3 linked regions of the Tribolium castaneum genome follow. The protein of the gene in region 2 binds, or shares a complex with, the protein of the main gene of each other region. Links are inferred from orthologs where the notes say so. Each region holds a gene or a part of one and is shown on either strand. Other genes may lie near its edges.

The links.
Region 1: SF2 (region 2) and proliferation-associated protein 2G4 share a complex: the UniProt entries of both Homo sapiens proteins name them as parts of the ribonucleoprotein complex. The link is inferred for Tribolium castaneum from reciprocal best matches to the Homo sapiens genes SRSF1 and PA2G4.
Region 3: the proteins of SF2 (region 2) and Tnpo-SR are in contact, whole or in part, in a crystal structure (PDB 4C0O), measured with the Homo sapiens proteins. The link is inferred for Tribolium castaneum from reciprocal best matches to the Homo sapiens genes SRSF1 and TNPO3. Residues at the interface, in NP_008855.1 of Homo sapiens: Ser116, Arg117, Arg118, Ser133, Trp134, Gln135, Lys138, Asp139, Arg142, Glu143, Gly145, Asp146, Cys148, Tyr149, Ala150, Asp151, Val152, Tyr153, Arg154, Val172, Arg173, Asp176, Asn177, Arg181, His183, Tyr189, Ile190, Arg191, Arg198, Pro200; in NP_036602.1 of Homo sapiens: His155, Arg157, Arg160, Thr167, Tyr254, Ile256, Glu257, Glu304, Glu340, Ile341, Phe343, Asn344, Tyr347, Arg348, Glu351, His352, Lys355, Thr356, Arg620, Asn656, Glu660, Arg661, Arg664, Arg667, Phe668, Arg671, Ser698, Cys699, Tyr702, Ile706.

What each region holds. Positions count from the first base shown.
Region 1 is NC_087400.1:1,389,280-1,397,507, forward strand, and holds proliferation-associated protein 2G4, read left to right. Parts: upstream 1-4,082; 5' UTR 4,083-4,151; coding exon 4,152-4,236; intron 4,237-4,371; coding exon 4,372-4,606; intron 4,607-6,269; coding exon 6,270-6,880; intron 6,881-6,940; coding exon 6,941-7,170; 3' UTR 7,171-7,383; downstream 7,384-8,228. Other genes in the region: coronin-2B, read right to left, coding at 773-880; Uba3 (nedd8-activating enzyme E1 catalytic subunit), read left to right, coding at 1,221-1,740, 2,788-3,593; Moca-cyp (peptidyl-prolyl cis-trans isomerase G), read right to left, coding at 7,493-7,607. UniProt on the Homo sapiens protein: May play a role in a ERBB3-regulated signal transduction pathway. Seems be involved in growth regulation. Acts a corepressor of the androgen receptor (AR) and is regulated by the ERBB3 ligand neuregulin-1/heregulin (HRG).
Region 2 is NC_087401.1:8,586,427-8,594,559, forward strand, and holds the start of SF2 (serine/arginine-rich splicing factor 1A), read right to left. Parts: upstream 4,497-8,133; 5' UTR 4,408-4,496; coding exon 4,241-4,407; intron 4,195-4,240; coding exon 4,013-4,194; intron 281-4,012; coding exon 108-280; intron 59-107; coding exon 1-58. Other genes in the region: phenoloxidase 1, read left to right, coding at 8,131-8,133. UniProt on the Homo sapiens protein: Plays a role in preventing exon skipping, ensuring the accuracy of splicing and regulating alternative splicing.
Region 3 is NC_087402.1:357,141-365,582, forward strand, and holds Tnpo-SR (transportin-3), read right to left. Parts: upstream 5,437-8,442; 5' UTR 5,311-5,436; coding exon 5,194-5,310; intron 5,140-5,193; coding exon 4,784-5,139; intron 4,588-4,783; coding exon 3,670-4,587; intron 3,621-3,669; coding exon 3,088-3,620; intron 3,004-3,087; coding exon 2,178-3,003; intron 2,121-2,177; coding exon 2,060-2,120; 3' UTR 2,010-2,059; downstream 1-2,009. Other genes in the region: slit homolog 1 protein, read left to right, coding at 1-106; cytochrome b-c1 complex subunit 8, read right to left, coding at 212-306, 363-516; asp (abnormal spindle-like microcephaly-associated protein homolog), read left to right, coding at 5,624-5,635, 5,691-5,870, 5,917-6,120, 6,286-8,442. UniProt on the Homo sapiens protein: Importin, which transports target proteins into the nucleus. Specifically mediates the nuclear import of splicing factor serine/arginine (SR) proteins, such as RBM4, SFRS1 and SFRS2, by recognizing phosphorylated SR domains.

The sequences.
Region 1 (8,228 bases), on a different chromosome or scaffold from region 2:
AATTTTTTTTTCAAAAATATATTTTTCGTTAAAATTTTAGTTCCATTATTAAAAACTTAATGCTTATTTTTCAAGCAATTAGTGATTTATAGTTAACTTTAATTCATTTAATACAACGTGAGGTCAAAATTTTTAGAACAAAAAATCGAGTTATTTTCCATTGTTTCGCCTCCTAGTATATAGTTCTCCATAGTCCAAAATAATTATTAAAAATTGTAAACAATGATAAAAAAGTGTGAAATCATCTAAAATACGAGCAAATAACTACATTAATTATAAAAAACATCATTCATGTCAAATTAGAGGTTGGGTAATTTTGAAGATAGAAATCTACTTTGAACGTGCTTTACCGTAACACCATTGCTATCTACAAATTTATTGGTCTCGAGTCAGTTTTTTATACAAATCGATAAATTTAATAAAATAAAAAATATATTGACAATTGAACAAAAAAAAATTTTCAAAAATTAAAAGAATAAAAAAAGAGTAAAAAGATTTTTTCAGAAAAAAACGTGGTTTAATTTAAAAACACCGTTTTCGACCAAAAGGTGGATATTTGAAACGTTGACATTGCAAACGTCAAACAAGCCAGTGTGACCACAGGCCTGCCAACTCAAACAGTGACTCTTGACCACTCTGTATAACATAACGACAGTTTTCCATTTGTGATTAAATATTTACATTAAATAATCAATTTAATTACCTACCACACATGTAACACCTGATAACGTCCCAAAACCGGGCTAATAGTAGTAATTAAAAAAAATCTTACCCTTTTTGAGGGTTTGCTGCAAGAGCGGTTATCCACAAAATTAATTATTTTATCTCCGGTTGCTGGCAACAGAGAATTCCCAACATTGCTTTCCGTTTCTCCAGTCATAATAAATGAATTACATAAAAAACCCAACAATTTTGTACTGATTTTAAATAAAAAATTCAATAAAACAATAAATCACAACGTAACTTTTTTGACATTTGTTTGACAGCGATCAACGCGTTGTTACGTCACGAAGTGGCTAACGCTACGATCTTTAACTTATTTCCGACTATTTTATGGCATTGAGGAGAATAATAATTATAATTAGCACCAATTGCAGTGCATAATTAGTACGTAATTAAAATTCCTGCCTTTGTGCCTGGCTTTTTGCGTGAAATAACTAAACGAGTTGGCGCGTTAGTCACTTCCTTTCTGACAGTTCCAATTTTAAAAACGGTTAAAAATGAGCGAAACGCAAGAACAGAAGCGCTGGGGGCACCTGCGCAAGGTGCTGGAGCGTCCGGGCCCCTTTTGCCACCCGGAGTTCGAGCCGTCACCCGAAATCATGGATTTTATCGTAACCTCCTGCAAGGTGCTTGTCGTGGGGGCCGGGGGCCTGGGCTGCGAACTGTTGAAGGACTTGGCTTTGATGGGGTTCAAGCAGATCCACGTCATCGACATGGACACGATCGACTTGTCGAATTTGAACCGCCAGTTTCTGTTCAGACAGAAGGACATTGGGCAGTCCAAGGCCAAAGTGGCGGCGGCTTTCATCAACAAGCGCGTGCCTGGGTGCCAGGTGACGCCCCATTTTTGCAAAATACAAGACTACGATGAGAGTTTTTATCGGAGTTTTCACATTATGGTGTGCGGGTTGGACTCGATCGTGGCCAGGAGGTGGATTAATGGCATGATTTTGTCGCTCTTGAGCTACGAGGATGGGGTGCTGGATAATTCGACCATTATTCCATTGGTGGATGGAGGTTTGTGCCGAAACGTGGGGGCTGAGACAAAAAACGCGCCTTTTTTCGCAGATGGCGCTGTTTCAAAATATCAGCGCCTTCTTGTTTCAGACGCTAAAGTTATTTCTCTCACAAAAAATTGTGTTATTTTAGTTTTTTTTCCATTTTGATATTTTTATTGACATTTATCTTTATCTAACAAACTATTCGGAAATAAAATTACCGTTGGGGGCGCCACTGAGCTAGGTCGAAAACAGTAACCATAAATGGCGGGAAAATGTTTATTCGGATATTTTGAGCGTTGTACGAATTTTGGGGCTTCACAATTATTCCATTGCCTATGCGGAATGATTATTGCATCTTTGATGCAAGAAACTTATGTTGACAAATGAGAGATGACGAGGAAAACACGAATAACGAATGACTGTTTGGTTCACTTTCTTTATTGGAAAATTATTACAAAGACATTGAAAAACCTACCTTTTGGCATAATTTACGTTTAAATGTATCAGCAGTTGTTAATCTTTATTGTAGTTTTGTACATTTACTGCAGCATTTCATGATTTTTTCAGTGGAAAATTCTAATCTAAAATTCATAACACTTCACTAATTTATTGGTTTCTTGAGCCAAACTTTGTGTTCGCTGTGATTTATTACTTATAATCTTTAATTAGACAACTGTTTGATAACACTTTGTAATCAAAATTTAAATATTTTTCACTTTTTATCCACTTTCAAGTTCCAACAATAAACACTTTATACCATGAAAAACTACAGAACCAAAGTCAACGCTAGTATTTACCACCACGTACTTTTAAAGTAATTCTTTCTATTGTAAGTAATTAACACTATACACGCAAAATTGTTGAACAATTCATTAAATGTCAGTTAAATGTGGCATTACGAAAATTTCTTTACTGTCTTCGACATAGTTCAAAAGTCATCACCAGAGGGCGTCTAGTTAATTTTATTTCCGAATAATTCTTCTTGTTTACAGCGCCATCTGAACTGTGCTGTGGCGCCAAAATTTAAAAAAATATATATAATTGAGTAATAATTTATTTCCAGGTACTGAGGGTTTTAAGGGCAACGCCCGCGTCATAGTCCCTGGCAACAACGCCTGTGTTGAGTGCACCCTTGACTTGTACCCCCCTCAGATCACCTACCCTTTGTGCACAATCGCCAACACACCCCGCCTGCCTGAACACTGCATTGAATACGTAAAGGTGGTTTTGTGGCCCAAGGAGAACCCCTTTAATGCGCCCCTGGACGGAGACGACTCCCAGCACATTGGCTGGGTTTACGAAAAGTCCCTGGAAAGGGCGTCCCAGTTCAATATCCCTGGAGTGACTTACCGCCTTGTTCAAGGCGTCGTAAAGCACATTATTCCAGCAGTGGCGTCAACTAACGCCGTTATTGCCGGAGTTTGCGCCACAGAAGTGTTTAAAATCGCAACGAGTTGTTGTCTACCGTTGAATAATTACATGGTTTTCAATGACGTGGACGGGATTTACACTTACACTTACGCAGCGGAACGGAGGGACAATTGTGTGGTTTGCTCCCAAGTGCCGCAAACTCTACCGATTGAGGATCCGAGTAAAGTCAAGCTGAAGGATTTGATTAAAATCCTGTGTGAGGATGAGATGTTTCAAATGAAAAATCCAGGTTTAACCACGGTTATTGATGGGAAAAATAAGACTTTGTACATTTCCACGATTAAGAGTATAGAGGAGAGGACCAGGGATAATTTAAATAAGACTTTAGTTGAGTTGGGGCTTAAGGATGGCATGGATATCATGGTCGCAGATGCTACGTCTCCCATGACGTTGGTTTTCACACTTAAGTTTGCAACGAGCGATGTTGAGATGAAGTAATTGTGTTATTTATTTTTAATAAAGAAAATTACAAACTGGGTTTTGTTTCATTTTAACGGTTATTTTGGCCCTTGAAATGTTTATTGTTTGATTTTTTTAAGTTCTAACCACTCTATCAATTTTGATATTGAAAAAAACACTTTATATCTTTATATCTTTTTTTTGGTATTATTGCTTAAAATTTGGTCGGAATTTTGACTTAGGCCTTATTATAGCTTCGCCGTAATCGGCCGTAGGGCGTTTTTCTCAGAAAATATGACTCGGCGAAGATAAAAACCATCAGAATGAATAAATAAATATTAAAATTTAGTTTTTGCCGGGAGTTTCTCCACACAAGTTGGCCACCCCAAAAAAAAATTCCCCTGATCGGTGGCCACTTTTATAATTTTCCGCGGTTTGGTCCAAAATCGTGCATCACACCGTAGTCATAAGTGATTCCCCGGTCATTTAACCCCCGTCAAAGTTACAATAAACGTTTTGTGGAAGTATAAATTCAAAACTGGCGCGTCAGGTGTGCAACCACATGACGTTTCCTCTCTAGTTCTCGTAGTGCGAGAAATGGCGGACGAGAAAAATGTGGAGAAAACAATTTCGGAAGACTTGGTCGTTACCAAGTATAAAATGGCCGGAGAAATTGTTAACAGTAAGTTGAAACGTCGCTCTTGAGCCCCCCAAAAAAAACACCCTCGGCTAAATTCACCCAGCGCCATATGCTCCAACCATGTGGTCTCCCAGCAAGCGTTGGCCCCCGTTTCGGTCATAACTAGTTTTTTTTCAGGAATTTTGAAACAAGTTCTCGAAAAATGTAAGCCAGGCAGCTCAGTTCGCGAGATTTGCGAGTTCGGAGACCAGCTTATCACGGAAGAAACGAGCAAAGTTTTCAAGAAGGAGAAGGAGCTAAAGAAGGGAATTGCCTTCCCGACGTGTGTCTCGGTCAACAACTGTATTTGCCATTTTTCTCCCATTGCCAGTGAGTCTGATTATGTCCTGAAGGACGGGGATATGGTCAAAGTGTAAGTGAAAAAAAAAATCTCTAATGGGACACAACCAGCTTAAGGGTTAAAATTAAATTAAATGGTTTTTGCGCCAAAAATTGCGGAACAGTACCATACAGTCTTATTCAAGTTTAGAGAATCAAGTAACACGTTATTTTTATTTTCTTGTCAAATGTTCGATCCTGGCGCCGAGCTTTTGTTGTATGATGAACTAAAATTGGCGGCAAATTTGAATGTTTTATTTTTAACACATTGTGTTAGATGTTAGGTTTAGAGAAAAACGAGTGACATATTTTCGGGTCCGTTCTTTGAGAAAATAATTTTGGTCAAAACTGTGTTGCTATCGTCTTTTGTTTTCGACTTATAAACAAAAGTTGACATTTTAGTGAAATATTAAAAAATTCATATCTTCCTTGTTGTGAAAGATACACATTTGAAACAAAGACATTATTACTTTTTTACAGAGAATTTAATAATGTTATCAGTAATCTTTCTTAATTACAAAGTTGTATTTTTTTAAAATGAGAATCATAGTTGGCTATGACATTTTCGAAAAGCCTATTTTTTTCTGAACTCAAAACAATATAAATATAGTTTGATATTTTTATATATTTTTGATAAAAATATATTTAAAATATTTGAAAGTAGTTGGCCATGGAAAAATTATTTCACATAAAAGGTGTGAATAATCTAGAAATTTTGTGAACGGTTATTAAAGTAAAAAATGTGAAATTATAAAAATAAGTTAAAGTTATTTTCAATTGAACAAACATACGAGCGTCGCAGATTTTAATTACATAAAAAAGGTGCAGAAAATTGCAAACGATGTCTCACTACCACTAGATGACACTTTTTTTATGATTTAGTGCAATGGAGGTGACGTTGATAATGTTGTGTATTTTTTTACCGCAGATGGAATTTGATTTTGGTGTTTGGATTGACATTTTTTTGTAAAATAAAATTTTATTGATACGCAATCATACAATTAATAAGATTTTTCTTCTTCCGACATTTCATGTTTAAAATTGGAAAATAGAATGACAACGTAAGCTTGCCATTTTAAATATAATAACAAATAATTTTTATTAATTGCAAAAATTTGATATAATAAAAATTTATTGGCTGTTTTTGAATTAATTAGCGTTTAAAAAATCATTAAATTATAAATACTTGTTGGGTAATACAATTTTCATAGTTTTAATTTAAAATCCAAAATTTTTTCATGGCCTACTATAAAAAAGGCGAAATGTTTTGTTTTTTCTTAAATATTCAAAATAAATGTATTACACAAATAGACATATCAAATCAGAAAAAAATAAGTTTTTCGAAAATTTCACAGCCAACTATGATTCCAATTTAAAAAAATACAACTTTATGTTATTACAGTTAAACGAATGGTTGAAAAAAATCGCTGATAACATTATTAGATTCTCTGAAAAAAAGTGCCTTGTGTATAATGTCTGTGTTTCAAATGTGTATCTTTTATAATAAAAAAGATATGATTTTTTTAAGATTAGAACTCTGGTTGTGTCCTGCTTCCAAAAATTAACTCCATGATGATTTATTTAACTCCAATTGATCCAACTGAAATCAGTGATTGCAAATATACGATCTGATGTAATATTATTATAAAAAAAAATAGTTATGCCTTTTAATGTGCTATCTTGCCCCTTTTTTTTAGTGATTTGGGCGCGCATATCGACGGTTTCATCGCCGTGGTGGCCCACACGATAATCCTAGGTGTCTCAAGCGAGCACAAGGCCACCGATCGAAAAGCCGACGTAATGCTCGCAGCACATTATGCTTCCGAAGCCGCTCTAAGACTACTAAAGCCCGGCAACGAAACATACACAATCACTGACGCCGTTCAAAGAGTGGCCGAATCGTTCAAATGTAAGCCAGTCGAGGGCATGTTAAGCCACCAACTGAAACAGTTCAAAATCGACGGCGAGAAAACCATCATTCAAAACCCGAACGAAGCGCAGAAGAAAGAGCACGAAAAGTTCGAACTGGACAAGCATGAGGTGTATGCCATGGACGTGCTGATCAGCACCGGCGAAGGCGTGGGCAGAGAGGGCGATAATCGTGTCTCGATTTACAAAAAAACCGACGAAACTTATCAGTTAAAACTCAAAGCTTCGAGGATGTTTTACAGCGAAGTGCGCACCAAGCACGGGAATATGCCCTTCAACTTGAGGAGTTTTCAGGACGAGACCAAGGCCAAAATGGGGGTGGTGGAGTGCGTCAAAAATAAGTTAATAGAACCGTTCCAAGTGCTTTACGAAAAACCGGGTATGTTTCTTCCCCTGTTATGGAATTTTTTATCTAGCGTTGATTTTTTTCCATTTTCAGGCGAATTTGTGGCCCATTTCAAGTTCACGGTGTTGTTGATGCCGAACGGCCCCCACAAAATCACAGGGCTGCCTTTCGACCCCGAACTGTACAAATCGGAGCACTCCATCAGCGATCCACAAGTCCAGTCGATACTCAAGAGTTCTGCTAACCCTAAAGCTGCCAAAAAGAAAAAAAGGAAGACGGAAGGTGAAGTGGACCAACCAATGGAAGTCGAAGCTGTAGCTTAAAAACAAATACTAGTTTTATACAAGCTTTCTCCTCACACTCGGCACTTTGTATTATTTTATTATCTAAGTTTTGTATTTCATTTCTTTTTTAAATTTTCATGACGAGATTTTTTCTTCAATAAAACTGACCCCAAGTGTTGAAATTGTTAACTTTAATAGATTTTATATTGCTGTGACAGCAATATGATGAATGAATAAATATAGTGTTTGGTAGTTGGGCTTTAATTTCAACTGCACGTGTAATTAAAAATGTTTACACCTTTTCAGTAATTGATAATCCTAATCGAAGAAAAAAGACAAATTAAAAAATGATGATAGAACATTATCTTTTCCTTTTTGGAGTGTAGCCTCGACGTTTCGATCGTCCTCTTGAACTGCTTCGCCTCTTGTCCTTCCTGCGGGAACGCGATCGGGACCTGCGGCGTCTCTTCGACTGCCTAAAAACAGGAAAAAAGGTGTTCCGAAAATATATTTGCGAATAAATTCTACTAAGATTTTTTGGCTTATTCGTGATAATTTTTGCAAAATAATGACGTTTCTGCATTAAAAACAAATAATTAGCAAAATGTTTTTGATTTTTGACCCAGTTAGATGCCTTTTTTTTAATTTAAAATATTTTGTATGTGTAACTGTTTGTATGTCCAAATACTCCGAAATTAAGAGGTTTTGAGAAAAACGAGTGACACATTCTATGGTCCCTTTTTTGAGAAAATAATTTTGGTCAAAACCGCATCTCGCTATCGTCTTTTGTTTTCGACTTATTAACAAAAGTTGACATTTTAACGAAATCTTAAAAAAATCATATCTTCCTTATTATAAAAGATATCCATTTGAAACGAAGACATTATACAGGCACTTTTTTTCAGAGAATTTAATAATGTTATCAGCGATTTTTTTCAACCATTCGTTTAACTGTAATAACATAAAGTTGTATTTTTTTAAATAGGAATCATAGTTGGCTGTGACATTTTCGAAAAGATTATTTTTTTCTGATTTTATATGTCTATTTGTGTAATACATTAATTTTAAAACATTTTTAATTTTAAACATTTCGCTTT
Region 2 (8,133 bases):
CTGACCGTCTATCACTCCCCCCACGATCTTCCTTCACCCTTATGTACGAAACCTCCCCCTGACGCCAAATTAAAACACAAATCCCTCAACAACCAAACAACTCTTACCTCATGTGACCTAAACCTCGAATCGTCCAATTTCTTTATAGCATATTTCATGTCTTCGTATCGGAGAAACTCCACAACGCCTGAACCGTCCTTGAACGCGTCCGCGAAGCACACGTCTCCAGCCTCCCGCATGTGGTCCTTCAAGTCCTGCCACGAGCCCGACGGTGGCAACCCTGCAAAAATTCAATTGTAAATATTTTGATGTAAGCCTATGTAAAAAGATCCGGGGAATCGATTGGTGTCGATAAAATCACCACATTCCCAATAGTTTTTAAGTTACGATTTTTTTCATCTTAAAAGACTTCGTTTTTTTTTAATTCAAATATATGCATTTATTTTGTAGTATAATCTCTATTTAGTTCAACGCACTTAGTGCAATGTGTTTCTAGTTTTTTAATCCCATCCCTGAAGTGACTTTCTGGTAGTTCTGCAAAATACTTATTTATAGTCGCTATTACCTCCTCATTCGAGTGATAATTTCTCCTAATCACATTTTTTTTTTAATTGTGGAAGTCTGGGGAAGTCAAATCAGGCGAATATAAAGAATGTTCTAATAATTCATGTTTTTAATTCGTCAATTTTTCCATTGCCAGAGCGCCTTTGCGACACCCTTTCACACACTATTTTTTCGTATCTAATTCTTGGTGCAAAATAAACTACACCCTTTTCTCAGATATCCCTATCACCTTAGCTACCTCATACACTTTCATTCGCTGATTATCCAATATCGAAATTTGCATTTTTTTGAGGTTTTTATCCGTGGTTACTGTTTTGGTCATCCTTCACAAAACTCATCATTGAGAGATGTGCGACCAAGTTTGAATTCAGCTGGCCATTTTTATAGTAGAATATGAAGAGGTTGACTTGAATAAACTTAATAAGATTACGTCTAATACTTCCGGAGTTATTGCCCGATATGCAGGCTGTTCTGTTTTTATTGTTACAAATTTGTATAATAGGTAATAGAACATTTATTTTTAATCATAAATTTCCTATAAACATGTAGGTTTTCCTCAATATTTCAGAAACCGTTTCAGATAAAAATACAAAATTTGGTACAATTGATAACCTTCATACGCCTAATCGAATTTAAGGATCAAATGTAGGAATTTTTAATGAGAGGTGTCCCAAACTAGGGGCACCGTGTGGTCAGATACGAAATATCGACTAAGCTAAAGCTTAGTATTGGTTTAACTAACCGGTCGATGTTGGCCGCTTAAGCATTGGCTTATCGCTTAACATTTTTAATATTAACGTTATTAATATACATAACTTTATAATTTTATTGAAATCGTTAACAGATAAATTAAAGAAACCGAAGTAGCAATTTTAAACGCAAAAAAAATATGGTCAATTTTGTTCAAAATTATAAAAAAGATACTTGATTACGTTCGGTGAAAAAAATGGAACATGGGCCCAAATTGCTCGAAGATTTAATACAACAAAAGACACCCGTAGAGAGGCTGCTAATTACGAAAAATATATGACAATTAAAAAAATCATAAAATACGCAGACCAACAATGTTAGAAAAAACAGACTCATGAAGCGCCATATAGCCCATATACTACTTACTTTCACAAATGTGGAAAAAAATTGCTTTTAACAATAATGATGAAGAACTATTAAATTTCCGGATTCAAAAATGATGCACAGAAACAGTTTTTTTAAATAAATTTCGGTTCAGTTTGAATTAAACAAATAAACTTGAACAATGACAGTAATGAATAGACAACATGTAAGTTAATATATTATTATTATATTTAAAAAAAAACTAAAAAAAAAGTATAATGATAATAATTTACTTATTCTTATTTCAGTAACTTTTTTAATTGCTGCAGCAAAATCCGACAGTCAGGGGAATAATGTTGTTAGAATTATTGATACTAAGTAAATATTATGTGATTTTAATTACAGCATAGTTTTAAAAAGTGAGGACGCCCAAGTCTTCAAATGCACAAAAGCAACAAATAAACTGTGCAAATCAGTTTATTGCTGTGTTTTGAAAGAAAAGACAGAAAACGATAAATTGCTCTTTTTCAGAAGGAAGCATAAATATCATTATAACAATATTATTCCTACAATGTACCAAAATATTAACTTAACTTTTCAAAATCAGAACTGTTAAAATTTCGTCAAGCAACCTCATACTTGAAGTGCGCAAGCGTTCAGAACTACCAACCCCGTAAGTGACAAGTTCAGCGCGGTTTAGCTAAACTTTCCACTCAACAACACAACTACGGTTTAAACTTAGTTTAAATATAAACCGACCTCATGTAAGCGAAAGCTTCAGCTTGAACTGAGCAATCAGGCCTAACTATTTTGGTTTTAGTTTTCTGACAATTTAATAACAAAATAGTAAATTCCATAGTTTTTTCCATAAAAATGGTCTCTTGTGTTATTTCTATACAACTAACCGTTTCTTAATAAACAGTATGTTACAGACCATAAATAACATGAAAATCAGGGATGAACAGAAGGTTTCGCGACCAGAACCTGTCCCGAGGAAGAACGGACAAAACGTCGACATTTTCTTACAAATGCGGCCTAAGCCAAAAAGACGTAGATTTCAATTTGGTTCTAGTGGTCCGTTTTTTCTTAATTTCTGCCTCTGTTGTTTTACATACGACTTCAGATGTGCTGCAGGAGCAGTCATTTTACCAAAACACAAACTCCTGCAAAATATTAGCACACAACAGTCACAATCAACAACGCACGGTTTTGACATTTATATTTAACGTTTACCAACCCAAACGTAGGTCGTAGCGTTAATTGTATGCAGCAAAAGACTGACGAATCATTAGTCGAGACATTGCTTACGTCACAGCGCGAATTTTCTATTATTACTAAAAAAGTACCGATTTAAAAAAACTCAGACCGATATTACTAGACATCATTTTGTGTCTACTTTCAGAATCTACAATTTCCAAAAACTTTTATTTTCGAGTATAACACTTCATTGTTGGAGATATAACTTGTCAGCTTAAATCCCTATTTCCATAAAAGTGTCTGTTCCCTATACCTGACCCCCAATCTGGATTACAAGCTCTCACCGAAAAGCCGCCCCAATGCTTTTATTATGGGACAAATCTTCAATTCGATTGCAATTTCCGGCATTCCTAATTAAGTTACACGTTTGACGCAATGATATGATTTGTTCAGCTTTTTAAGACGCATCGATTGATATTATAAAAATTACTCAATCTGAGTGGTCCTTAAATTCCCATAAGAAATGTGCCTTCGTTTCTAAAATTGTCAAAAAACGAAAGCCAAAATAGTTGGGGTATTTTTTATCCTCCACCCCCCAATTTGGGACGTCCCTGATTACAAATATGTACATTTGGTGTTCGAATTCAATTAGACGTACAGAGATTATTATCTGTACCAAATTTTGTGTTTTTATATGCCATGGTTTCTGAAATATTGGGGAAATTAAATTACACTAAAAGGAACACCCCTTATGAAATATTCTTCGATACATGTTTGTAGGAAACTTTTCTCCTAAAATTGAGTGTGCTATCACCTGTTTAAAAGTTGTAACAATAAAAACGAACAGCCCATATGTTTTTACGAAAAGATAAGACAATTTTAAATGTATTTTCATGCTTTTTTTATTTTCGCTCTAATCTTATAGTTTACAAAAAAAAAACAAAAATGTAATAATAATAATAAATTATTGACGATTCAAGAAACGATGCAATGAAAACACAACCTCACAATTTAAAAAATCAAATCGTAGGTGGCAGCCACACATGCTAAAATACCCTTGTGTGTAATTTCGAAAAATTCTGTAAATAAAAACTAAATGACTTTCCTTTTAATCGCTTTTCCGACCTTTATTTCCTATTATATTTCGAATGATTTTCGCGATAAAAAACGAAAACACAAATCAAATTAACAAACCCACCTGTCACAAGCACTCTAAATTGCGACCTGCGAGCTGGTGGCCCCCTGGAGCTGCGTCCCCTGTCGCCGCCGCCGCGGCCACCCCTGAAGCTGCCATGGCCGCCGCCCCTCGGGAATTCCACCCGGAGGCGGTAGCCGTCGTAGTCGTAACCGTCCCGTGCATGTACGGCGTCGTCCGCGTCCCTAAATCAGCACACTGAGAGGGTTTCGAGGCCACATGGGGGCTTACCTGGGGTCCTCGAACTCGACGAAGGCGAAAGGAGGTCCCCGTCGGTTTTTCAAGTCGACGAATGTAACTTTGCCGAATTTGTAAAACAGGTCTTGGATGTCTTTGGTGCGGATGTCCGGGGGCAGATTCCCGACGTAGATTCGGCAGTCGTTGCGGCTGTTGGACATCGTTTCGTGTTGGAAAGTGGACGAAATCGGCGATAAACAAGAAGGAAAGATGGCGACGTGAGGGCGTTTGTGATGGCAGAGCCATCTGGACGGGGTGTGGCGCCAAATTCGAATGGAGGGTTGCAGTACAATACAGTGTGTTTACAGAAGAGTGTAGAAATGAGATAACTGCCAACACACTCAGGGAATTTTTATTTTTAAGAATTTTATTCAACTCCGAAGTATTGGTACGGGGTTTGAGGGTCACCGGAATAATTTCTCTGTTAAAATAAAATTTAATTGTACATTAATTTCATTTGCCTCTATTAGCTGTTTCAAAACTATAAAAACGCCAACGTCGCATTTTATCGAATTATTTTTTTAAATACTATTGATAAAATTGTAAAATAGTTATTAATGATTAGATCTCTCATTGAAAGTATAAATTACACTAGTTATTATTTTTTTGAAGTGCATGAATAATTTATAGAGGTTGTTCCATATCTGGTGGCGAACTGACAGTGACATAAAAATACATGGGCGTGCATTTTTTTTCTGTAAAGTTTACTTAGTTCTCATTTTAACATTAATAAATTTTGAGAACGGAGAAAGGTAGAAATATCACTATTAATTATTATTAATAATTTGTTTATTATTTTTCACAGTACTTAATTACCACAATTTTTTAAATACTAACAGTGGATTTGACAGACATTGTATAACGACGCCTATGGTCATTTTTTTTTCAATAGTAAATGTTTACCTATGTATGTTTAATGCCAAAATTCACTCATTTTTGGAATAAACTCTAACAGCTAATTTTGAGAGAAAATGCGACGTTGGCGTTTTTATTGTTCTGAAACAGCAATACTTTAGTTTGATCAAAATTTGAATTTGAATTTAACCCGAAATCGTTTTGAGCAAGTTCAATTTGTGTTTTGTGGAGGCGTTCAAAACTAGATGAAGAGCTAAAAGTTTTACATTTTTTTGTGAAGTTATGATAGTTCTAACGTTTAATTTAACCCTAAGAATAGGTAAAGAGATCATTTACCGAATCATATCGTAAATTTTTAGTGGAAGTACTTATTAAAACAAAAAACTGTACCAACACTAAGTAGTAATTACATAACAAACGCATAAATAAACTGTTTTTACCAAACTGCACACACTAAGACCTATTCTGTAATTTTATTAAAGGACTGTTAAAATTTGACACATTTCAAAAAATAGCAAACCTAGCAATTTTGTTGATTATCGTTGTACCAACAACTAAAGCTCCTTAAATTAAAAACAATTAAAACAGTTTTAAAGCCGGTTTACAGAAAGTGAAATTAAGATCTAATTTAGAATTAAACTAATTCGAATTAAGTTGCCATTTAAATGTAAAATGCATTGACAAATGTCAAGTTAATCGTGATTAAAATGTAATTGCAATTAAAATGTTCTGTAAACCGGCTCCTAGTTTTTCGTACAGAATAAGGCTCAGTGTTGTTTATAGGATTTATTTTAAAAGTGAAGTTTCTAGAAATTAAAATATAGTCATATCATAATAGAGACGTTCAACGCGAACACGAAAACTGGGTGAAATTGAGCTCTATACAATACTCCGATACTGGATACGCCCGAACATACGCTTATAGTCAAGTCGGCGTCGTCGGCGTTGTCATGGCAACGAAACAAAATACGCATGCGAAAGTATGGAATATTTTAATTTGGAAAAAAATTGAATGTGTTATGACGTGTTTAATGTACTTTTTACTGTAAATTTAGTTTATTAGAATTTATTAAATATTTCTGTGTGTAAGTATAGATTTTAGGTGAAATGCCACTTCACGTATTTCCCCAGGCGAGCCGCCACTGCCCTGGACTACAATTACTGAAATAATTAATTCATTGTCATGATTAGAACTTACAACGAAGCACAAGGTAATAATTGCAATTGTTGTAGTCGAAGCAACAATTCACAAACAATGCAAATTGAATGATTTTCTGTTACAATGTGAATTATAACTTATATCATCCCCTTTAAGTTTCAATCCCAAGACCGTAAACACCCTGAATAATCAAACCTTTATTATTTTAATATTTCGCGACCTGAGAACAATCAAGTTCTAACTGCATTTCCATTGCAAACGCAATCAACAGTACAAGGAAAATAGACCAGTGGCATATTTTTAGTAATACATGACCCAATGGTTCGTAATCAATCTATAACTTTTTTGCTATTTGAAATAATGTCATACCGATTTCATTATCCGATAGATCGACTTAAGTCCACAAATTAATAATATTGTTATTATACTTAGGGTGTTGTTTACAGGGTGGTGAACCAGAGTTTATTTTTCTAAATGGAACATCCTATAAATTTTTGCATAATTGGATTCTACACAAAAAAAATATTGTAACTTTATACAGCGTGTTAGGGAATGGTTTAGCAAAAATTTAAAGGTAGATCGAGAATGACAAGGCAAATTGATTAAGCAAAATTTATGTAAATCAAAAATGCATAGTTTTCCCAAAAATTGTTCTGCAATTACAGATCCAAATTTTGAGAACAACTGAAATTGTATTATAAAAATTGGCGCAAAATTAATACCATTGACAAAACAGCAAAGGTAAATTAACTTTTTGGTCCACTACGTTATTCTTCTGTTTCAATTTGTGTTTTGTTATTAAGTACCACGAAAAAAAAAACTTTTTTTGCCAAGATCGGGATTCGAACTTTCAACACAAAGGAACATGTTAGTCACAATTTTGAAAAATTCTCAAAACGCCTTGCGCCACCACTACACAGTGGCTTTCAACAGGTGGGTTAATAAAAATTTCTGAAGAAAGTACGCACTTTTTGGAAAAATGATATAAGAGTTTTTAACTCGTCTGATCATGACAAATTCACATTCGAAATATTGCTAAACCATTCCCTAATACCCTGTATAAACTATTATGGGACTACAAATATCTCTTATCGTTTCGGAATTATTGAACTTGGTAATTTAGTTTTTTATTTTACTCAATAGAATGAAGTGACCATTTGGTGATTTTTTTATTCTATCGGTGAAAACATTTAACAAAAATTTCTCAATGTAGCTATAAGAGAAAACGTTGTATTATACACGTAAAGAAAAGTTGGCATTATCTATCTGCTCGTAAAACTAGTGCTCTGCACTCATTTTAGGAACACATCACTCAACTTTTCTTTATTTGTATAAGAAACCATTATTTGAAGTGTTTCAATGCTCGAAAAAGGCACACCATTTTTTTGGACCCAACTTAACGATTTTTAAGCTATTTTGACGCAAAGTGAAAAAAGTTCTTTACATTCATTGCTTTCTAGGCGATAACATAAAATACCGACGTACTACAACTGTTGAATATTTTCTTAGGAATATTTTTCTAGTTTCTGGTCGTTTAGAAAATGCAAATCAGTTAGTAAATGGATTAGTAATATTACTTTTTTATCTTTATAACTTTTGCTGTCCCGTCCGTTATCACAACTTATTTCTTACGTTGTTAAACAAATTCAAAAATTTTAAATTTCCACTGTTTAAGTTTAATATTGTTATTTCAAGCAACAGAAAAACCAAAATATGATATTCTGTACAATTGTAAAAAGACAGGTCCCGGTTTATTATTGTCTTATTCGTTATCACAAACCTCAACCGCATCCTTCCCTTGTTTGTTATTCATTTTCCAAATCGGGATATAAACGCGCCACCCCGTCGACGGCTCGCAAACACCTCCACCATG
Region 3 (8,442 bases), on a different chromosome or scaffold from region 2:
GGTTTTGGGGGCGACTTGCGGCACTTGTATCACGTACAAATTCCTGACTAGGAGTGTGAAGATGAGCGAGAGTAAAAATGCGCTGCTTTACGACTTGAGGGTTTAAGTCACTTTTGTATAAATATTTTTTTTATTTTTCTAACTGTTTTAAGTTATGTAAATAAATGATGGGTTTCTAATAGTTGCTATTTATTGACTAAATTTTTACAAATTATTGATCATTTTCGTAATCAGCTGGGTTTTTTCGCATCAGTCGGTGGTGTTCTTTTTCAACTTGGTCGTAGATCACGTAACCCATAAGAAGGGCTGGAAATAACAATTACTCAATTAACTTACACATTTTTTAATTCAAATTCACTTACGAGGTACAACGTATAAGATCTCGTCCTTGATGCGTCTCAAACTGTTTGGAACTCCGTGTGAGAGAATGCCAGAGAAGGCCTTAAGTTCAAATGGTGATAGTCGGTACGTGATGATTCCGCGCAGTTTATATAATTGACCAAAACCGTGCCCCATCTGCAAATGAGGTTACATTACATAATCACCTGTCTAAGACACAGTTAATTAATCGATCGTTAAAATGGTAAAAAAGGGAGGAAAAATTGATAAATTATGTGAAAATATATTCTTACTTTATTAATTTGAGTTGGATCAAGTTGGCTTAATTACTGCTTGATTTAACCTCGAACTGTCACTTTGACAACTGACAGCAAAACTGTCAATTGTGAATTGTCACCCGTGTGTGAAAACAACAAATCAGAAAATCTGGAATTTCTTCGAGTCGATAAATATGTGGTTAAAGACGGTTTAAAAAAATGTAAACTAAATATAAAAGCGAAACCATGTTTCTGAAAGACCCTTGCGGTGTTTGTTGCATTTTAATAACTTATGTTTCGGTTTTTTACGCCGATTATGTTATAGTTAAATGGGTGGTGTTGCAATCGATGGTTAATAGGTAAATTGGGTAAAGTTAAGTTGCAATGGTCCAGTGATTTGTTTCAGTTTATGGGGTTCCTTCAATGTGGTCATGTTCAATACTGTAATTTTATTCCTGTGTATGGCCCACTTTCGGGCTGTTTTCACAGACCCTGGAACTTTGCCTTTGTTTCCCAGTAAATTGGACTTTTCCGATATGCATTCCTCTGAGTCTGGTATTACATGGCAAAGATTTAGGCCTCCTTTTAACAAAAATAATTCTAGGCTGTGATTATGTTGATTGGACGGTTTGCACACGTTGCGAAATTTACAGGCCCCCAAGGGCGCATCATTGCCGCATTTGCAGGCGGTGTATTCGAAGAATGGACCATCATTGTCCTTGGATTAATAATTGTGTGGGCGAACGCAACCAAAAGTATTTCCTTCAGTTTCTTATTTATGTCGGAGTATTATCTGTTTATGCAATAGTATTGGTCAGTGTTTCGTGGATAACGGAGTGTAAAGACTGCAGTCAGGAAATTCCAATCAAGCAGGCCAGAATGTACGAATCAACCTTAGATAATTTTTTCGTTGATCGCTTTTTATTAATCATTTAAAATAGAGTGGTCAACAAAAAAATGTCCAAACAGTATTCGGCTTCATTAACCAATCAATTTTTTTGTAGAATGCATTCAGTAGTTCTGCTACTGATAAGCGCCCTGTTTGGCATGTTCGTTTCTGCGATTCTTGTGGACCAAATCCAAGCCATTGTAACAGACGAGACGGCTGTAGAACACGTACAAAACCAAGGTCCTTATCGCCCCCATAAACCAAAAATGACACTTCTGAGCGATGTTTTTGGACGCGAGCACCCTCTTTTGTGGCTTTTGCCTTGTTCTTCCACCAAGCGAAAACTCGATACTCCTTTAATTAATCATCATGTTTAATTGCCTCGATTTTATATTGAATTGAACTTTTCTAGTCTTAATTTAGGGTGAAGTTATAAGGAACAATCTTTTACATGACGTATTATTTTGCTTTTTATTTTTATTAAAATATGGAAAACAGGAGCAAGGACTATGATTTACAAACCCTGAAAGTACATACGTATATTATCTCAAAATAGCACTATAATCATACAGTTTTAACGGTAAAACCTAGTCAAATCTTTCAGAGCGTGTGTGACTGACTTTGACGTGTCTGACCTGAAAAAATAAAGAAAAATTAATATTTCCCCCTTGATATTGCTATTTTCCAGTCACCTAGTCATTGAAGCATGTATATCGTTCAATTGTTGAGGAGTGGCTGACATGATCCCCCCGTTACTTTCCTTCGGTAACGTGTCTAAACCATTGGCTAACCATTTACTTGTCGCTTCTCTGTCAAATTCTAACAATTCGACAAAAACATCCGCAACCTCACTCAACATATACGAATGTAAATAAAAAACACAAGCATGAAGCAAATTCGTCACTAACTGTTGTCCATATTCATTTAAAATACTCGTAACGAGCACTTTCCTTTGTTCGAAATCAATTTGATTTTTACCACACTTTCCGGTATTAATCAGATCATAAAAAAACTTCATTACCGACGTATTCGCTTCTTTATGATCCAAAGTACACGCCATCAAACTACACTGTAGTATATGTACAAGTGCACCGCATTGTAAAATCGGTACTGGCGCTCTCTGCATTAATCTCGAACATAATCGAAAGAAATCATCCACGGTATCGGGATGATTCCTCAATCCGTTTTCTTCCTGAAGTAGTTGAAATGTGGGTTCGATGAAAGCTTGCAACATATCCAACAGGCCTTGGACGCAATTTGGATCTGTTGCGTATTCATCAACGAGTATACTTCCAACGTAGAGAAAACACGAATGTTTATAGGTTGCGTAAATTCGAACTATTTGACTGACTAAACTTTGCAAAAGCTCACAGACTTGTTGACTCACACAACGCAACATAAAACGAACGGAACGGCAACACCGCTCCATTATTCTCAGGTCGTTTTGGTACTTGTCGAACGTGCGCGAAAGGACAGGCCATACCTCCAAAATCACAGGCTTGCAAGGGTGCACCTGGCCTGAAAATTGCAACCAAAAATATTTCTATTTCGCCGAATAACAAAAAAATGGAAAAAAAATTATTCCTAGCTCTAAAAATTTACCTTCATAAAGCCTAACGTTGACATTCCGCAAAACCGACGACAATCTATCCAACCACAAAACCGGATCACTTTTAGTGCCCCTAACTGGCACCACATCCTGTTCTATAAGCTGACACAACGGATTCAATTGCATTGAACACAATTTTCGCATCGCATCGGTTAAATCACAATGTGGCATACAACCAACAATTGCAGCAACACCTTTAACTAATCCAATGACTGCATTATTCGTAATTGCAAACGTATCAACTTGTTGCAACAATTGTAACAAAACTGGGACATGTCGTGGCATGTGATCGTTGCAAGTTGCACAGATACTTTGTAAGGAAATTGCAGCAGCTGCACCAACACCGGCCTGTGGCAAACAACAGACCAAAAAATTCAAAATTGGATCAAGTGTATTTGGATGTTTTTCGATCCATTCGCATAATTCCCCCAATAACATGACTGAGGTGTATTTTACGGCGATATGTGTGGTTTCGGGGAGGGAAAGTATGGCTTCGACTACTTTCGGGACGACTTCGTTTTCACTCCTGCAAAAAAATCGAGTCAAAATCCGAACAAAAAGTTTTAAATACTTACGGCAAGACATTTTTGGCCACCGCTTGCATGATGAACAAGGCGGCTTCGCTGGAATCCCACGTAACACCTGGTGCTTGCAAATTGACAAACATTTGTCTAAAACAACTGCTACTTCCAACGATAAAAACAACGTCTTTGACCAAATCGGAGACTTTTAATCGAAAGTCTTTAAAATCGTCACCATCTTCGAGCAAGCCTTCATGATCCGGTTCCATTTGACAGTGTCTACATAACGCTGTGATTAATCTTTCAACGTACGGTCGAAACAATTCGGTCAATTCTTTACTATTCTTCTGATACAATTCCTCACTCAGGACGTACCATAAATTAAAGGTGATTTCGGCAACTTCGTATTCGTGATGTCCCACACAAATCAAAACTAAATCAAGCACTTTAATCGCATAATGAAACGATTTCGTGCTACAACTATTGATAATCTTCTCGAGAAACGATTCGGCTAGTTCGGTAAAAATCCGACAGTAATTAATCGACTTCTCTTGGTCTTCGTTTGCCACCGACAGGTGATAAACAATTTCCAAATTAATCACGTTATTGAACAAATATGTTTCGAGGATTTGTTGATTGTTGTTGTCTTCGAGGCATTGTAATAACGTGCAAATGCAATCAGAGGCGGCATCGTGTAACGAACCGGCCACACTTTGAGGTTTGTCGCCTTCTGGTTTATAGTTTAGAATTGAGAAAGCACGCGATATCACCACATTATTGGCAATATCATTTAGAGTGATTGCTCCAACTGACACCCAAGATGTGAAACAACGTAGAATTTTTACGTTGATTTGGACGTTTTCTTGCCAATTATTGCCGTAAGTGTTGGAACAATGAGTGAGGAAGTCGTTGACGGTGCCAGCGCACGATTTCAGGTCCTCCAGCATCACAATACGACGGTTTTCGCCCAACCTAAGTTAAATAAATAGAGGAAAATCCATTCACGAAAAAGTGCTGAGAAAATTCGGTTTTTGACCAAACATCAAGTCAATAAACTATTTCATATAATGAGTGACATAATATGTAATTTACAACATAGGAAAATAATAATTATTTTATTATGGAATACCAATGAGTTGTTAACCAACTTTTTTTAAATAAAACTTACCTAACAGACCGGCTTTCGAGTTCTTCCGGCAGAACGGTCAAAATCTCCAGCAAGGGCCACATATTAGTGGTTGTAAACCTATTAATCAAATCTAGAGCCGCCTGCTGCCATGTGGGCATCTGTAGAATCAAATCGGCCAAAGCTAGACACAACTGAGTCACAATAACAGTATTAGTGTCCTCATTAATTTGACTAATGTGCTCCAAAAGCGAATTTCGCAAAGATTCATGAGCTTCTGTTGGCAATTCGTGAAACGAGTGATGAATCTTCGTCCTCATTGTTTGTGCCCCAAAATAACATGATTCCAGATCACGTTTGTGGTGGAGCAGTTCGTCGGCGATTGTCCACGCATGGACCTAAAAAAACAGCTTACAATTTAGACAAAATAAAAAATTTACGGAAAAACCTACGGATTTTTGGAGCTCTCCGAGCCATTGCGAGGCTCTTTCTTTCTCGGTTGTGTTCGGATTGTTGTACAGAGCGGACACGGCCGCGTACACCAAGTTCAAACTCGGCTTAGAATCCATTTCTAAACGCAAATTGCCCCAATATCACATCATAAATGAGCAAAATTGTAAAAATACATTAAATACATTCGTAAACTGTCCACAAACGTCAAAAACAACAGCCAGAAAATGGATGTTACTAAATAACCATGATTGCCAACTTCCAATCCCGGCAACCAACAGAACACGTCCATTTCTATTGGTCGAGCGAAAGTTGACGGTTTATCATTTGAATCAAAAAACTCATCTCAAGTACAGAGTTTTTAAGAAACTGTTTTATCGCCTCCAACATTGTTGTGTGTTATTTTAATGTTGATAATTTTAACCTGTGACTATGTTTTTGCAAGTAAGTTGTGTTTTATCATTTCTGAGTGGACGTCAGTTACTTAACCAAACTTTAGTTTTCGCCCCCTGTTAGACAACAATCCAAAAAACCAAAGCCGGAACTCGAGCCAGATAATGCCGTTTTATCACTGGCCCCTTTCACCCCAAATCCGAAAATTTGTTTCGAAAATGTTAAAATTGGTCAAACGGCCACTCAAAATCTGGTCATTAAAAATCCGACAGGACATGCAAAAGAAGTAGGTTTGTTCGTTTCTAAGGGCAGGATTTGAGCCATTTTTTCAGCTGATTGCGAGAATTACAATTCCGGAAGAACTTCATTTTAGTTTGAGTTGGGGTGGCTGTAGGATAGATGCCCAGAGTGAGGAAACACTTGAACTTGTTTGGACCCCCACCTGTGAAGGGGCTTGGAGGTTCAATTTGTGTGTTACTGATGATGTAGGGACGTGCCGAAACGTTCCCATCGTTCTTAAAGCAGCCACTTTGACCGTAAGTAAAGATACAGTGTGATCATTTGTTTTTATGATTAGAGTAGGCTTTGATTGTTTTTGTTGAATGGCAGTGCTGATTGTCATAACACCTCCATGTTTTATTATTTGTATAGCACATTAAAGAAATTAATTTTCTAAACTATCAATATTTTTTGTGGTTTAGAAAAGCAAGAAAGGGACCCAGAAACGTTTCCCTCGCTTTGTGGCCAAGAAAAACACTTCACCGGTCCAAAACTTTAAGCGAAAATCGCCACAAAAGCGAGCAATCCTCCCAAACATTACAAACATGCCAACATTTACCGTAAATCCTCCAGAAAGTGAATTCAACGGTAAAGAAAATTTCAATTTATCTCCGAAAATTGAAACACGACGAGATACTTATACCGTAAATCAAAACATCCCCGAGATTTTTGACGACAGTTTAGAAAACATAACGGTGGTAAAATCACCAAGCGTTTCATTTGAACGTCGATTACAATCAACGTCGTTTTTATTAACACCATCGAATCAAATCGATTTCAATCCAGAACGTTGCTCAACCGACGAAAAATCGATCGATAACACTGATAATTTTCTTCTAACATGCAAACCTAAAACTTTATTCAACGACACAACTTTCGAAATTGTAAAAAACCTGAGTAGCGAAACGTATGTTAAAAACCTAAGCTCGGAAACGTACACCAAATCGGACATTTCCGATAATTCACCGTCAAGTTTTTCGAAAAAATGCCGCCTTGATAGTCTTGTCGGCAACGGAGTGAAAATGACCATTGAGGCAGATTTGTGGTCATGCCATCACACAAATCTAGTCACAATTCGGGAAGAAACCGAACCGAAAGCCACACCCTTGAAGCGTAAAAGCGACGTTACGTTTCAAGTGACATCACCGAAACGCCCAAATCTGGGATTCCCCCAAGAATGGGCCAAACAACGCAATATTGTTGTTTTCGAACCGGAAGTTGTAACGTGGTTAGAGGGTCAAGAGGAGAATTTCAAAAAGTGGCTCAATGCTGTTTTAACACCACCTTTGGATCTTGATTCAAATGCGCAAAGTCATCCCTTAGACGTAGCCAAATTGTGGCGAAGTTGTATGGAGAAAGAAATCGAAGTGGCACCGACCAGGGAAATTGTCTCGCAACGGTTTCACAACAATGCTAAACTAAACGCGTTAAGGAGAGCCGCTAAGGCGTTGTACCAAACAAACGAAATTCAAAACGTTTTGATTAAAGTTGGCGCGATTATTGATTGTGGCAAACTTGCGTTGCGGAAAGACCGTGATGTACATCTAGATTTGCGTTTGCAGGCCGATGTTATGCAAGTGATTTTGAGTTATAATCCTCTGTGGTTGCGCATTGGTTTGGAGACGATTTACGGACGGGTGATTCCCCTAAATTCGAATTCGGATGTTAGGGGCTTGACTCGCTTCCTTTGGGAGCGTTTTATGCGGGACCCGGTTTTATTAAAGAAACACCGTTCCGTCCATTCTGAGAAATACAAATCGGAGATCAAACAATTCATTTTGAAGAAATTCCTGGCGTTGGTTTTTTTCCTAGACCGGGCCAAAAGCAAGAAATTGATAGCACATGATCCGTGTTTGTTTTGTAAAAACGCACCAATTAAAGAGAGCCAAACGGCTCTTACGACTTTTGCCCGTGATACGGTTTCGTCAATGGGCGATATTACCAAATATTTGAAACACTTTCAATACACTTTGGTACATAAGCAGAGCTATTTGAATGAGTTTGATTACGCTGTTAAGTGTCTCGGGGTTGATTTACGTGACGGTGTTAGACTAACACGAGTCATGGAAATTATTCTATTGCAAAATAATTTGAGTGAAAAACTGCGTGTTCCAACAGTCTCACGATTGCAAAAAATCCACAACATGAAAATCGTGTTTGAGGCTTTGCAACGTTCGGGTTTCGAAATTCTCTACGACATTACACCAAGTGACATAGTCAACGGTCACAAAGAGAAAACTCTATCGTTTTTGTGGCAAATTATTCACAAATTGCAAACGCCCCTAATGGCTAAAAGTGTGACATTGATAACAAACTGGTGGCGAAGCGACACAATTGTGAAAAAACGAAACGAATTGAAATTAATTCGTGAAACAAAAAATGCAGCAGCTATCACAATCCAACGTTACGTTCGTATGTTTTTGGCCAAACGTCGCTACGAAAAATTACAAAATATGCTAAAGTTTTTCAAAGCTGAAAAACAGGAGAGAGCTGTTTTAATCATTCAGAGACGTTGGCGGGCAACTTTAGCTATGCGAAACCAAAGAACACAATACCAAGTTTTACGTGAGGCTACGATT